Linked DNA regions of Mytilus edulis. The protein of the gene in region 2 purifies or fractionates together with the protein of the main gene of each other region. This does not show direct contact. Links are inferred from orthologs where the notes say so. Each region holds a gene or a part of one and is shown on either strand. Other genes may lie near its edges.

Region 1 (8,355 bases), on a different chromosome or scaffold from region 2:
ACATCTATCTGTGATGCTTGTGTTTTGTCCGAATAAAGATTACAAAGATTAGTGTTTCCCCTATCACACAGTGGAAATGGTAACTCCAATAAAATAGGGCACCTAGAGCATGCAAAAGATTAACAAAAGGACACATAAAAACTTTTTGTTTAAATAATTTTACTAGTTCACATTTTTGAAAGATTTAGTTTTCATATGATTTGATCTTTTAATCGTTCAATCCCGATTGAGTAGAATTATGATATCAAAATCAATATCATCAAGTGAAAATAATCAAGAAGAAATAAGAAGAGAAACACTCAAGCCAATTCTCGATTTTATAAATCGACTTTCCCTACGGAAACGATATAAATTCCGGAAATAAAAAAAAAGCGTACGGTAAAAATGTTGATTTTTTAACCCCCTCCCCCCAAGTGTACGTTTTGTACACTTTGGAAAATGGTTGACAATTATGGATGACCCCTTACCTAGACTCCAACTTCATGGTTCATTGGACAATGTTGAGATTTTGTTGTTTGATCTGTTCTCAGGTACTTTTAATGATTAGACCATTACATGTACATCTGGTGTCTAAATGATTGCAAGCTGTACAGGTCTGGCTGGCATAAATTATTTGACCATGACCTAATTTTATGATTCATTGGTCAATGTTAATATTAAGTGGTTTGATCTTTTTCTCAGATGTTGTAAAATTGCCAAATAAACAGCTGTATATCCAGTTAAAGGCCAAAATGAAACAATGCAAACAATTATAGCCTATAGGTCACTATACAGACTTAAAAAATAACCCAAATCCATGCCTTATAGTAAGCTATAACAAAACCAGGATAAAAAAAAATTACGAAACAATGCAACAGAGAAGACCTAAATCATGATTTGTTTAACAATGAATGAAAAGATTTACTTGTATGAAAAAGGATAAGTCTCAGCACAATTTAGGAGTGTCTAGATGGGGTTTACAGAATATATAGAGAAATCAATAACAGGCCAATACCACCAAAAAAAAATGGACTAAAAAAATAAGATCAGAAGTATGAAGAAATGAAAAACAAATTTAAAAATACAGAAAATAATGGAAAACATGCAGTAATTCAAATTTGTTAAAAGTTCTTTAACCATGTAAATACACATGAAATATGTCCAGTCAGAACCTTTGTCAGTGGTCATACTTGATTAAACCACCAGTTTTATACAATTATGAATTTGTGATGCTGACTGACAGATTGTTGTCTCTGTTTACAGCTTGTCCATACTAAGAAAGATTCAAAACATGACAAGATAGACATTTGGGTATATAGCTGTCTCAATGATGTCTACACCACATCTATTTTATTTGGAAAATTGTATGAATTTCAGGGTTCTCAATATAAGACAAGTCCATGAATCCCTCCTGGTCTTATCTGAAGATTGTCAAATGGTGTATCCACTAAGAAGATGAATTGTATACCAATACAGTTTTATCTTTTCACTCTTACTTGCCATATATATTTGAAACTGTAATTGCCCTCAAAACTATTCAGTGAGAACCTGACTCTGAGATGTGTATTACGGAGGAGAATATTTTTTTAAATAAAACTTAATATCCTGGGGGTAAAAATAGCATATTGGCAAGACACATTGAGGCAACCAGTACCACATGTTGAGCAGGATATGCATCCCTAAGGAACTGAGATCATCCCCTTTATTTTGGTGGGGTTGGTGCATGTGCAGTGGCGGATCCAGAACTTTTCCTAAGGGGGGGCCCACTCCAGTCATGCTTCAATGATTCCCTATATAATCAACCAAATTTTTCCTACCAAAGGGGGACCCGGGCCCCCCTGGATTCGCCTATGATGTGTTGCTTAGTTGTTAGTTTTCTATGTTGTGTTACCGTATGTGTACTGTCAACTTGTTTTTTTTTTTAATTTGGTTATTTTTTTTTTTTTGCCATGGTGTTGTCAAGTTTATTTTTGACTAACGAGTTTGAATGCCCAATTGGTATATTTCACCTCTCTTTTTGAGATGGGCATATAAACATGTGTGAAACTTAATTCAGAATTTATTGTGAGGTACAAAAAGTTATTTATCAATTAATGCAAATAATGCAATAGACAACTTTGGAGTTCAATGCATTTCCTTCAAAAACTCTGGTTTTAGTGAACGTCATTTGTGCGTTTAGGGGCGTCGTCACTTCCTTTCCAATGTTGAGCGAGTGATTGGAAAACTAGAATTCTATGTTGTAAGAATTATACTGCAAATTGAATTCTAAAAAATTGACAATCAGCACTGCTGTTATTAGGGAATTGTCATTAAGTACCTACAGACAATGACAGACCATTATTTCTAGTTTATCCTGCACAATGACGATCACTAAGACACTTGATGAACGTAAATAGTGCAGGGATACAGGCGATCCCCTCTATCTGGTAAATGACGTCATAAAGGCTGCATAATTGACGATTTTTTTCCGGTGATGGATGAACTGGAAAGTGGTCTATTGGATAAGTTTTGTAATAAAAAGAACTACTATTTTGATATCTGTCAGATACATATCTTTATGCAGCATTCCTAAAATCTCAACAATTAACTTCCCAGTTTTGTCCATCTTTTACAAATTGCAAAAATAAATGCACACAATAATTTCTGAACTTACAGTATTTAAGCTGCTGACAATTATCAATAGAAATGAGATGTTAACTTTTGGTCAGGTTTTTGTCTCTTTTGTCATATTTCCCATTTCCTGTAATTCCATCCTCTATTTTAACACATGTACTTATAGTATTACCATTCCATTTATGATTTATAATTATTGTAATTATCAAATCATTTAGTAAGATACAGAAACTTTCTAAAAATCCAAAAAATTAGATGCTTTCATCATGTTCAATATCAATTAGGAAGTGTACAAAAGTCCGGAATATGAAACATTACCAGCTATACAAGATTTGTGGTGGATATACATGTACATAACATTGTTACAGTGGATAAAACTTCACCCCTATTTTTTTATGGAGGTGAACTAGTTTGACATCATGTCCGGGCCATTTAGTATTTTACTTGGAAAAGTAAGACTGATAAAGCCACAAATAAATAACTGTTTATTGTATGTACATACATTCTAATTTGGTAATTTGTAAAATATTATACTACATGTATTTTGAAAAAGTACATATATAGTTATTGATTTGAACAATTGCACCAATAAACACCTGAGTATTCAAGAAAAAAATTGTATTAATGAACAGCCTTATAATCAAGTTATTCTTATTGCTGGTCTTTTAATTTCACACCCATGCTTTTTAATAATTCCAGAGCTTCTTTGTGAGCCTTTTCATCATCAGGTTTATTTAAAGGTTGATCTTTCGCTCTAGTTAAATATTTCAGCGCCATATTATGGTTCTTCAATCTGAGGTAAGTTTTCCCTAACATCAATAAGTTCATACTGTAAAAATTAGGATCTGCTTCTTCAGCTTTTTCAAAATAAGCCAGCGCCTCTTCATAAGTTGAAGTTGGTGGTGAAGCAAACAGTGCTGAAGCTATTTGTCTCATGTACCAAGGCATGTCTGCAAATAGAAAACACCAATACCCAAGTGAGTACAATGATGTTGCATCTTTTGGGTTTAATTCATTGGCTCTCTTTAAATGTTCCTTCACATGAAAGGCATTTGAAATTCTTTTTTTCGTGCCTTCATATTCTGCTGTGTAATCAAGTAGTATGGCATACCATTTGTGAGAGGCAAAATTATTGTCATTTAATTCTAGAGCTTTCTTGACATATTCAAAGGCTTCAAAAAAGCAGGCTTTCTTTTCATTGGTATTTTGAACTAGTTTTCCTTTGTCGCTCGCAGCCCTTGCCAGTCTCCACAAAATTTCATCATTCTGACAATCCTTGTACTGAATTAGGAAATCATACAGTTTAAGTATCTCATTAGCTGTATATATTTTATCAGCTTCTATAACAACTAATTCTTCTTTGGTCAATTCTTTGACCTCTTCTTTCTTTCCAAACCCAAAACTTAGAGCATGGACTGTTGCAAAAGGTTGAAATGCCAGTACAGGAAACAATGGATATTGGATTTTCTTGAACTGTTTATATGATTCCTTTCTCTGGGACCTCAAGAATCTGTATGCCACGCCACATGACTGTCTAAATTTTGTAAAAAATTTCAATGAACTTTGCATCATGAAGGTGGCACGGTAGTATTTGCTTCCAACGTTTTAGGTTGCTCCTTTGTGTACCCTACTTAGGTGAATACTTATGACACTGTGATTGGACATTAAAATGGATTATCAACCAGAAACATTTTTTTCAAGTATTTTAACCAATTATGAGTCTGAAAAATAGCAATTTTCAAATGTAACTATTGAAATAAATCTTTTAGAATTTTTTTAGAATATTGCATTTACTGCGGCCAAATATGATGTAAATGACTGGTTCCCTTAGACTGGTGACAATAGCTAAAAAAGTAAACGGTCATGATGGTGTTTCTCATTTATTTTTGAATATCTGAATGAAAGTACTTCAAGTTACAGTAGGTTTTAGGTCTTGGGGAGTGTTAGAAAGTCATGAAAATCTGAAAAATGTTAACATTGTCGCCTATGGCAGGGAAATACTACCGTGCCACCTGAATATGTTGTCAGTGTAATCAGTGAGTAATCTCTGAAACAAGTTCGGTTCATTTATTTTCCGGAAAACAAGAATCAGTAATCAATAAATAGTAGGAAATATGGTTGACTAGAAAATATGGTTTTGTTCGTTTTATTTACAAAGATTTATCCTCTAATGTGTCATGACAGATTTGATTTCTACCAGAGTGTACAGTGCATTATGTTCCCGGATTTTATTCTCAATCTGCCCGTACTTTTATGTAAATTATATCTTGAGTCCTAAAATCTTTCTTTTATTCCCTATACATCGTGGAACAAAGCCGGCTTCAGAAAAAAATATATCAAAAAGTACGAAATCTCACGTAGAAAGTTATATTAAAATCAAACACAGATAAATCATCAACTACTGTATACAATCAACTTTGTCAAAAGATATTTCGGTGTGGTTTTTAAGATTGTCAACCACTTTAATGAAAAAGGGGGGATAATTAATGAGATACATGCCTCTAGTGGACTAACCTGCCTCAGCCTCAGGCAGATTTGTCAATCCCACCTCCAAGCTGTTGACATCTTATGATGTCCACTCAGATTTTGAAACAAATTTTAATTTGATAAAAGATTCTGAAAAACTGGTAATGTTCAACAACAAGTTCATTCATTTTTTAAAGATTTTTTTATGAGAATGTCTGCTTTGTTAACCAATTGCGCTAAAAAAAGACCTGCTGTTTTGTAGAGGTGGGGGAAGACCTTTTTGGAGATGTCAGGATCGGGTGTTCAGGATAGACCCTTTCGAGATCCTGGAATTCTTGTTTCCAATTTTGGAATGCTGGGATTTAAATTTCTTTAAATTTTGGACCTCAGGATTTCATGTTTGAAGCCAGAGATTTCGGGACCAACAGAGGCGGATTTAGGGGGGGCCAAGGGTGGAAAAATTTGGCTGCTTATATAGGGAAGCACTGGAGCGGGCCCCCTCTTAGGCAGTCAGTGGGCCCCCACTTATGAAATTTCTGGATCTGCCACTTATCAGGTCCCCTCTGACAGCCCCATCCCCCTCCATAGCGAAAACAATTACTTTTAATGAATATTGTTAGCAAATGAATACTAGAACACCTATCTTTTTTTGCACATATAAATAAGATGTAGTATTCCATTCCAATTCCAATGTACATGTATAAAAAGTAAAAAAATTACAATTCAAAGTATCAGGCCTTCACCACAGAGCCTTGGCTCACACGGAACAGCAATCTTTAAAGAGCCCTACAATAACTACATGTAAAACAATTTAAAAACTTAAAATTAAAGGTCTAATCTATGTAAAAAAAACAAGAAACAATTGTGAACCACACCAACAAACAACAACAGTCATTAACATTTATCAAGTTAGGCCACAATTAAAAATATTTCAGTTTGCCCAAACCCGACCCATGATGACTGGGTGTGGGTAGGTAGGTAGGCAAATTTTTTTTTCTTTTTTTTTTCCAAATTTGCATGAAAATATTAAAAGATCTTAAAACAGTATATCTTTTTTTTTCTCTGTCAAACCTTTGTAGAGACAACCAAAAGCCATGAATTTAAAACCTCTATAAATAAATTAGTCTACTATATGATTTGTATCCTGAGATGTTTATAACCCTGACAATTGCTAACTGTGTGAAAGGGCTGTTGGATTTGTGAAGTGATTTTCAACAGTTCCATCAACATGATCAACACGATGTTTGTGTAAAAAAAATATCAGCTGATTATGTAATGATTAAATTTGTTTGCAGTTTTTAAATCCTATTCTATTAAAATAGATTAAATGTCCTAAAATATTTATATGAATTTTTATCTACCATCCTTAGTTTGTGTCTTTTTTATGTTTTGAAAACAAATTTATATTTTACATTATCACACAGGTAAACTAATTTGGCTATAAATAGATCAAAGCATGTTCTGTAGAATCTCCAAACTAAAAACGTATTTGTTATAATTTTATTTCTTTAAATAATCAAGTTTAAATTTTTGAAAATAATCATTATTGATTAAATGAAATTGCATAAAGTTAACGTTTTCTGAAGACTTTATTTTTAGGTCTGACATGGTTCTAGGGGCTTCCTCACAAATTGTATAAAAATCCAATATGGCGTCCATAACATGTTTTTACTTTTGCACATGTGAAAAAATATTTCTGACAAAAGTCAGATTTCTCTTGTCAAAAGGGATTTATATTTATATTGCAATAAATTATTCAGAAGGAGTGACATTCAGTTAAGATTATATTTCTGATTCTGTGAGCAATTATAGTTTTATCTAATTCTCCCAAACAGCAACGTACTGACTGTCTAATGAGACTTGTAAATTTGAACTATTCGAATAAAAGGGCATCTAATTTACATGATAAAGGAAGATTATAATTAAAGACAACAATTTATCAAGAAATAATTCCTTTTTATTCAGTAAAAACAAAATCTTCTTGCAAGATTATAAATTCGCAACTTCCAGATCCATTTCCTGTCAGAATAACATTAAAAATATTCGATTGCACATGGTTTTGAACAAATCTACCCAAATATTCTTATCAGATATTCAATAACACGATGAAATTAATGTTGAGCATATAGGTAAGGGTTTGGTAGTACAAACAACTACAGCATAAAAAAACTGTGCCACTTCACTTGTTATACTTCTTTACGTTCGTTAAATCAGAAGATAAAAACAGAGAACATCGAATATCGATTAACTGCGTCTCTTATACGCTTTCTTTTAATCTTATTCACAATTACTTTCAAACGCAAAGACGACAAACATTAAGTTTTGTACGATGACGGAGCTGACCCAAAATAAATCCGGAAAAAAAAAATTCTTCCAAAAAAACGTCAAAAAAAGAATTTGAGTCGGCGGGTTTATTTTGGGTCGGTCGCGTTTGGGCAAACATACAATCTTTTTATTTTGGCCTTACAATGTATCAAGCCCTTTAAGTTAAAAAAAGGAAATGTGATATGATTGCCAATTAGACAACTCTCCACAAGAGACCAAATTACACCGATATTAAACATCTATATGTCACTGTACTGCCTTCAACAATGAGCAAAACCCATACCATATAGTCAACTTTAAAAGGCCCAGAAATGACATGTTAAACAATTCAAATGAGTATTGTCAAATTTGTTATACATTGAATTTGTAAAATAAGATTATATGTTTATAATCTAGTGGTTCTTTTTTTCAGGATGGCACAACCACTATTGTTAGATTCTACATGGAGAGACCAACAGAAATTTGAAAATGCAGAAGCTGTTTATCAATGTACAATTGCTGGTACATCTGTAAGTCTGCATAAAACTATGTACACTAATTTAGATCTTTGGGCAGGAGTAACAAATTTGTTTAGGCCAAAAAAATTAATATGTGTTTCCGTAAACGTCCTGAAAAAAATTAAAGTAGGCAATATCAATCTTTTAACAAACAATTTTTAGCTGGTTGCTATTAGGGAAGTATTGTGACTTTAAAGATGCTTAGTCCAAATTGGCATAAAAAGAGTTGGGTAGGCACTAAAAATTAAGGTAGTCAGGTAGTTAGGGTTAGCGGAAACATGTATTATTATTTTTGGCCTTAGATCTTTGGGCAGGATTAACACAATGTATGATGTGTATTAACCTTACTATTTCAGCTTTTACTAGCTATAGGATTCTGATACCAGTATTCATTTGTATTTGTACATGTTGAATTTTTCAAGATATCCATAGAAATGATATAAACTGTAAACGGATACATGTTCATGTGCTTGCT
Region 2 (8,088 bases):
ACCATTTATCAGCATTTTAAAATAGTAACTTCTAAAAATAAATTGACAGCTAATCACCTGAAGACAATACAACATTTCTTTATACATAATTGAAAAGCGGTGTAAGGGAGGTAATTCAAAATGTTGTATTTGAATTACCTCCCTTAGACTGCTTTTAAATTATGTTTTGTACTTATTAAGTAATAGTTCTCCTATTTTGTCCATAATTTCTAAACGGTAAGATTCATAACCCCCCAAAGCCAATTCTTACATCCGTTTGTGGTATGGAAACTTGAGGTATAATTTCAGAGAGATCCATGCACCATCCCATAAGTTATTGTCTGGAAACTAGGAAAATGCTTATTTGGGCCTCTTTTTGACCCCCTAACTGTTAGGACCATAACCCCCAAAATCAATCTCAACCTTCTTTTTGTGGTTATTAACCTTGTGTCTGAAGCCAACGCATAAGTGATTGACAGAAAAGTGAATTTTTTATGTTAGACATGTTTTGAGTTCTGTTTTGTGCCTTCTGATTTGACCTTTGTCCCACTCGTAACGGTTTGTTTTGTCAATATGCAGTTTAAATTTTAGAGCATAATCAAAACGTGTTTAATTTGCAGTCGTTTCTTTAGCATTTCAGTATACGGAAACATTCATACAAATTGAGTCTGTGTGTAAACATGCCTCCATTTATGAACTTGCATAATCAAATTTTATTGACTTGTCGTCACTATTACAATTATTATTATAGAATAAATTCTTTATATTTGTAGACAAAGAGAGTTACTGAATTAAATCTAGACACAATATGTCTACAGTGTTCCGACGTAAATATATAAAAAAAAGATTTACCTTAAAAGATTGAACCGTGGTAAAATTTGGACAGTCTAAATCATGACAGAAGGTTGGTTTTTGTTGAGAAGGGACTGTCGCCGTGAATGCAAAGACCAGCAGAGATGAAAGAACACACTGGAATAACATATTGGATCTGTTGATTACTGAAATAAAACGTGTTAAACAAATAAGAATTCATACATAAGTTAACGAAGTTCTCAAGGGCCTTTTCCCCGTTTGATTTTTTTAATACATTTTGGCATTTGAGGGCTTTTATAGCTGGTTTTTTCTCATTGTTGAAGGCTTTACATTGACCTATATAGTTTTTGACTCATATGCGTTATTTGGTCTGGTGGAGATTTGTCTCATTGGCAATGCTACCACGTTTTCTTATTTTTATATTCCATTGAAGCTGTTTACAAATGAAAATTTTGATTGACATTTAAACTAATAGTCGTATATATATATATCAGTATTCGAGATATATTTTTTTCTAAAGTTCGTAAAACACAGTTACAAGTATAGATAACAATGCTTATGTTCGATAAATATAAGGTTCCAAATGTAACAATTGAAAGTCCCAAAGTAGAATATATTATAAACAATCATAAACAACTTTTTGCGGAGCACAACAAGAAACCTCAATTATAGGATTTTTCGAACAAAAAGCATGAATTAAAAGTTTTGAATCGGTTCAATTAGAGGAAAATTATATGGTTTCTGATCATGTTTGATGATCGAACGATTGCCTTTAGTTGTTATTACCCTCCAATCGTAATTCGGTGGTTTCTTATTTTTCAATATTAGTATTGGATACATGATTCGTTTTTCATTTATTGTATTTGTTCACAGGCACTTGTCTCAGAAAACAAAATTCCTATATACCATTATTTAGGATATAGAGGAAAACAATAATATGAGACAAGTGCCTGTGTGTTTGTTTCTGTGTGTTGCTATTTCGCCATGCTCCGTCTTAGATTAGAGGGATGGTTTGGGCGCCCGTTAACAGTGGCGGATCCAGAACTTTGCCTAAGGGGGGGGGGGGGGAGGGGCCCGCTGACTGACCTAAGGGGGGCCCCGCTCCAGTCATGCTTCAGTGATTCCCTATATAATCAACCAATTTTTTCCCACAAAAGGGGGGCCCGGTCCCCCCAGGCCCCCCCCTGGATCCGCCTATGGTTAACATGTTTAACCATGCATGTCGCACGTTTTACCCTTGTCCGTCATTCGTACGTCCCAAAAATGGTTTCCGTTCTCTTACTTGAGTTTGCCACAATCAAATGTTACGAATCTTATACAAAATGCTTATAATCACAAAACACAGATCAAGACTATATTATATATAGGCCTTGTGAGTCCTTGGTCTACGTTTGTATAATTAAGGTTCGAATTGAAAGTTTATTCTTTCTATCTATGAAAATTAAATAAAAATCTTACCTTGTTTTCGTTAATTTCTCCACAATGAATAGTTGGTACTCTCTGTCGGTTATATATATAGTGTTAGACCATTATGCAACAAGTTTACTACTTTACACTAAACAAAACACATTGATACCCACGTGTATCTATTCTAACAACACAAATATTTAGAGATAAACTGAGAATAACCTCGAAAACGGTCAGTTATGGTTACTGACATACAATTCGGTTTGATTTTAGAAGCCAGAGAGGATCAGAGAGACATCTTTCTGTTTTAAGTACACTGAGGAAATACTGTTAATTCAACTTGCGAAATTATAAAACATCAATAATGACTTCGCCTTTTAAAAGGATATGAAAAATGGCCACATGCATTTTTTTCAAACCATCTTTGGTGTGTGTACTTAAAATATCAGTTTGACCTTATAACCGAAAAGATCATACGGTGCAGATTAGTAGAATGACTATCAAGCATTTGTACAAAACGCATTATAAACTTCGATCTGAATCATTTCTCAAATGGAATTGAATGGCGGAATAGACAATCACATGTCGCATCGTCAGTGTGATAACTGGGGAATCGGGATCAATGCCAAAGTTACCTTTGAGAATGATTTAATAAAATTGAGAATGGAAATAAAATATAGCTATTTTATTTCGAGAGCAATATTGCGTGCCAATACTTCCGAAATCGAAATCGCACATTTGAAAAAAAAAAACTCAGAACCTGTAGTAATATTTTTAATTAGATGTCGTTTTTTTTTATAAATCTGATTATGCTTTATTTCAATGATATTCTTAAGCAACTTATATTTATTATATATATATAAAGTACATTATCGATTTTTTTTTAGTTTGTTTACAGTCCGCTCTCATAAATCTTTTAAGATTGGCACTTTTATATAATAGTTCGTTCTTATGTTGTACTGTTACACCACTATCCCAGGTTAGGGTAGTGTTAAGATCCCGCTAACTTGTTTAACCCCGCCACATTCTGTCTGTACTATATGTGCCTGTCCTAAGTCAGGAGCCTGTAATTAAGGGATTGTCGTTTGTATGAGTGGCCGTTTATGTCAAAATAGCGATGGTTCCATCTATAGTTGTTTTTTCTATCTAGATACATGTTGAAAGAATCTAGATACTTTAAACAAGTATCTAGATGCTTCTTATAAGTATCTAGATGGTTGTAAGATACATCTAGATAAGTTTAGCGAAATATCTAGATACCTTTTTCAATTCAGATATTTTCAACAACCATCTATAGATACTTGTGCGATGCATCTTAACACTTGTTCCAAACATCTAGATACTTGTGCGAGCATCTATATACTTGTAGGAAGCATCTAGATACTTATATGCGAACCATCTAGATACTAATTAAAAGTAACTATAGATGCTTTCAAGACGTATCTATAGATGCTACGCACAAGTATCTAGATGCATCGCACAAGTATCTAATTCCATTGGTTAAAAATACGACAGAATACTCAAGATTTCAAGTCGGACTTTTCGACCATCTAATTACTTCAACAAAGCATCTAGATACTAACACGAATTATCTAGATACTTGTGCGTAGCATCTAGATGGTTATGCGAAGTATCTAGATGGAAAATGCATCTACATGGAACCATCTAGATGCATTTATTTATTTTGCAAGAATATTGTGTATGTGCGTAAAAAATACGACCAAAAACAATTCAAAGAAGAAATATTTTGTTAATCTATGTCAATTTGACAAAAAATTATCCATATCAATTTATTTAGAAACATTTACCCTGCATACGCCGGAAAGTAAACATCAGTACGTTGATGGTTTTCTGTAACAAAAGAAGAAAGAAGATCGCTATTTTGACATGAACCGCGACCGCTCTTACGTTTGTTGATGTGTCACTTACATATTTGTTTTTCGTTCATTTTTTTGTACATAAATTATTCCGTTAGCTTTCTTGTTTGAATTGTTTTACATTTGTCATTTCGGGCCTTTATAGCTGATGATGGCATCATGCGGTAATAATATGTGCAGTTTGTTTATTGTTAATTTCTGTGTCATTTGGTGTTCTCTATTGGAGAGTTGTCTCATTGGCAATCATACCACATCTTCCGAGCCAATTGTATAAAAAATTGATTAACGTGTGGTTGTCGGTGATCTCAGAAGATGATTAAATGAATTTAAGGGTCATAACTTGTGACCTTTATATCAGCCAGAGACATATAAGATTCATATAATACATGTATTATATGTCTCTGTATCAGCTAATAGGACCTGCCATATCAGTCTGTATAGCCATGATGACATGATGAGTGCACCCCTACATATATATTTTTTTATTTTGCAAGAATATTGTGTATGTATGTGCGTGAGTTTCCATTTTGTTTGTGGTTTGTTAATATTTATGTATGTGTGTATTTCCATGTGAAAAAAAACCTCAAAAAGCCATTTTCCGGATAAATAACCAGATACGTGCCCGATATTTTTTATTTGAGGTTTCACTTCCGGGTTAGCCATGTGTATGCTGCAATCACAAAAATCTTGAAACTCACAATTTTAATCATTTAGCTTATTTTCTGTAATATTTCAACGCATTGTATCAACAATCTCTTTCCCAATATTGCATCATTTGACTTGATTAGTATAATATCAATTTTTAATACACCAATCTTTGGATTTCGGTATAATGGAAACCGACAGTTCACAGGCTGTTGGAGATGGACCAGAACAGGGTATACCAAAAGTGAAGTCTGAAAAAGAACTTTTGAAAGAAAAACAAAAACAAGAAAAACTTGAAAAATTTAAGGCAAAACAAGAAAAACTCAAACAGAAGCAAGATCAACCCAAGAAGGAAGGGGACACCCAGGTAGAATATTGCCATTATTGTTATATTGTGAGACTGTTTTATATTGTTGATATCTACTTTTAGCTTTTATATATCTTGCAATAGGTAAACTCGCCACATTCACTTGATCGCCCTCCAGTTGTATTCTATTAATGTTTTCACCTGGTTCCTCTCATGAGTTGCATGGAAATATAACGGTCCAACAATTTACAGAAAAGAGCGAGGCCTAAATTAAAATATTATTTGTTTGCCCTTTTCCGACCCTATTTTTTGAAACAGGGTAGGTAGGTAGGTAAAATATTTTATTTTTATTTCCCAAAAAATAATTTGACTCTGTACATTTTTTGTCATGGGTAGGTGGGTAGGTATAATATTTTATTTTATAGATACAAAATCTGCAGGATATCATTGTTGTCTGTATTGCATTTGTTTAAGTATGCTTTTACTATGAAGTTTCTGGGATTATTTAATTTAGTATAATAGTCCTAGGAGGTTTTGAAAAAAATATAGAAAGTGAAGTTAATGCATATATGCACTGCTACCTTTTTTCTTCAAATATAAAAATAAAGGACTATGTGGCATATTTTCAATGTTTATATGCCTGGAACTTTTGAGTTTTAACTTACACTAAAAGTCTTTACTACTTACCCTTACCTCGACCTTAGATTTTCCACATATTTCAATTTGACGGTATATGGTGACCAATCCCAAATCATGTCTCTAGGAGATGAAACATGAGAGATCATATCTGGTAACCAGTATGACAAAAATATTAATTATCTATCTCTCCCTAGCATGGTTTGTGAATCAGCTGTATTTACAATGTGCAACCTATAGCATGTTTTATTCACATGCTAATAATTTTATCAACATTTGAACTTAAACAGGGACTTTCTATACTATGGAAAGTCCCTGACTTAGAATACCAGAGCCATATCTGTGAAATAAAAAGAAAATTTGATTAGAATATAAAGCCACTGCCCGGTAGTCCATTTCCCGCCATCATCGTTTTGCAACCAGTTAGAAGAGCTAAAACTAAGCATTTGTCTTATTTTACTTTCAACCCTCGAGTGTTTAAATTTTCCTGTGGGCCGGTGTTTCCTATAAAAATGCTTCAAGACTTGAAACTCACTTGTCACGTATTTTACATTGCCTTTATAAATGGTCTATAAGGAAAAACTTGGCGATTTTACTGCCAATTATTCTTCCCTTTACAGGCCTTTTGGTTCATGTCAGATATAAATAATATGCCAAAGCTGGTCGAAGGCATCATTCACGTGGCATCATTATCATCCTGATCTCCTGATCAGCAAAGTCCTCCCTACATAAGATACAACGTCCGTTTACAAAATATTTTGTACACACGTTGATAATTTTGTTTTGGACAAACTTATTCTTAATGAACCCTGCTCTTCAAGTATAAAGACACACAGGGCAATGTTCGTCATGATTTTAAAACTTTCGACATCGATTTCAAACCAATGCTTTAAATCTCTAAATGCACGTGTTCGTGTCAAACGCTCTAGTGATACCAAACGGACAAAACACTGTACGAGGAAGATAAAACCCGAGGATTCCGTTAAAAAAGTTTTGAGCGGTAAATACAAATATAAGATTTTCGGTAGGAACGAAGAAAAAAAATAAAATAAAATATTGCCGGGAAATACAAATAAAAGATTTTCAGTCGGAACGAATTCATAGGGTTGGTCGGTAAAGGGCAAACAAACAATATTTTAATTTAGGCCTGACGAATACAGAAAAGAACCTAAAAGAGCATTATATAGAATTAAGGCAATGTACATATACACTATTTATTTATACTGTTAACAATTCCTCTTAATAAATAAATGCATAATTCAAATTTACATTTATTTTAGATCGTACATTTATAGAGAAATGTGGACTTCCAAAAAAGAGACAATATAATTTGTTTTTTTAGTAATATTTTTTTTTAATATAAGTATGCTACATGATTCTAAATTATCATTTATTTTTCATCAAGGATTTTAATCTAATCAATTAAATATTTGTTTATAATAGATATAAAGAAGATGTCAACATATTGCCTGGTGGCACTGGGTGAAATACAAAAAATATACATTTCAGAATCACCATTTCCTCTCGGATGTTAAATGTCTAAAACATTTGTTAAGGTGCCACTGTGACATGTGATTAAATCATGATGACCGTCACTTTAAGAAAAATAAAGAATTACAAAAAATGGTGAGAGCACGTTATTGTAAATTTCTTTTCATTTATAGACTTAAATGATTTGCATTTTGCTAATCTCCTTTGATAACAAAAAAAAATGATTTTCTTTTTCGGTCCTTTTTGGTTCTTTTCTGTAAATCGTCGCTCTTTTCTGTAAGTCGTCGGACCCGTAAAAGAGAGTCTGCTTATGGGTGCTATAAACAGTTTCGTATAAAAAACTAGGGGTTATTCCCCAAATAAAAATAACCATGGAGGGAAACCCCTGTTTATTTACTCAATTGGTGAAAAAGTATCATGTTTTTTGTATTTGATTGTAAAAATTAGTTAATTAGCTTTCAATTAAAACAGGTTGAATGATTGAAATAATTTTAAAAATTATATCAACTTTACATGTTTTGAGGGTGGACAACACTGTAAACATCCTGTTTTTTTGGCAGTGAAAATTGAAAACTTATTTGCAGCCACTAGCTCTTTTCGAAGAAGGAGACCGTACCCTGAAACAAGATTTTTTTGAAAGGCCAGGTAAAAACCTACTAATTTCATACAGTTTTGATTATGTAAAATGTGCATGGATCATGTCTTCATGGATGTGCACATGACCTGGTTTCAAATTTTTTATGTTAAAATTATACCTTTTTTCCCCCATGTTCATTGGATGGAATTTTTTTAATATATTAAAAGTACACATTATTTTTATTTCATTAGAAACTAGAGAACATTTTGATTCCAGTGATATCTAGTTTTATACAAGTATCTTTATTGATCAGTCCACCACTAAAGGTCACTTATGCATGGTCCCTCAAAATGTGA

What was found. The genes of interacting proteins can lie anywhere in the genome.
Region 1: the proteins of valine--tRNA ligase-like (region 2) and elongation factor 1-delta-like purify together in Homo sapiens (affinity purification with mass spectrometry; 5 studies listed by BioGRID and IntAct, counting the BioPlex papers as one, with this or other methods). This does not show direct contact. The link is inferred for Mytilus edulis from reciprocal best matches to the Homo sapiens genes VARS1 and EEF1D.

What each region holds. Positions count from the first base shown.
Region 1 is NC_092355.1:30,361,046-30,369,400, reverse strand, and holds the start of elongation factor 1-delta-like, read left to right. Parts: upstream 1-4,873; 5' UTR 4,874-4,935; intron 4,936-7,795; 5' UTR 7,796-7,796; coding exon 7,797-7,892; intron 7,893-8,355. Other genes in the region: regulator of microtubule dynamics protein 1-like, read right to left, coding at 3,244-4,164.
Region 2 is NC_092345.1:78,969,341-78,977,428, reverse strand, and holds the start of valine--tRNA ligase-like, read left to right. Parts: upstream 1-4,700; 5' UTR 4,701-4,908; coding exon 4,909-5,088; intron 5,089-8,088. Other genes in the region: heme-binding protein 2-like, read right to left, coding at 832-960. UniProt on the Homo sapiens protein: Catalyzes the attachment of valine to tRNA(Val).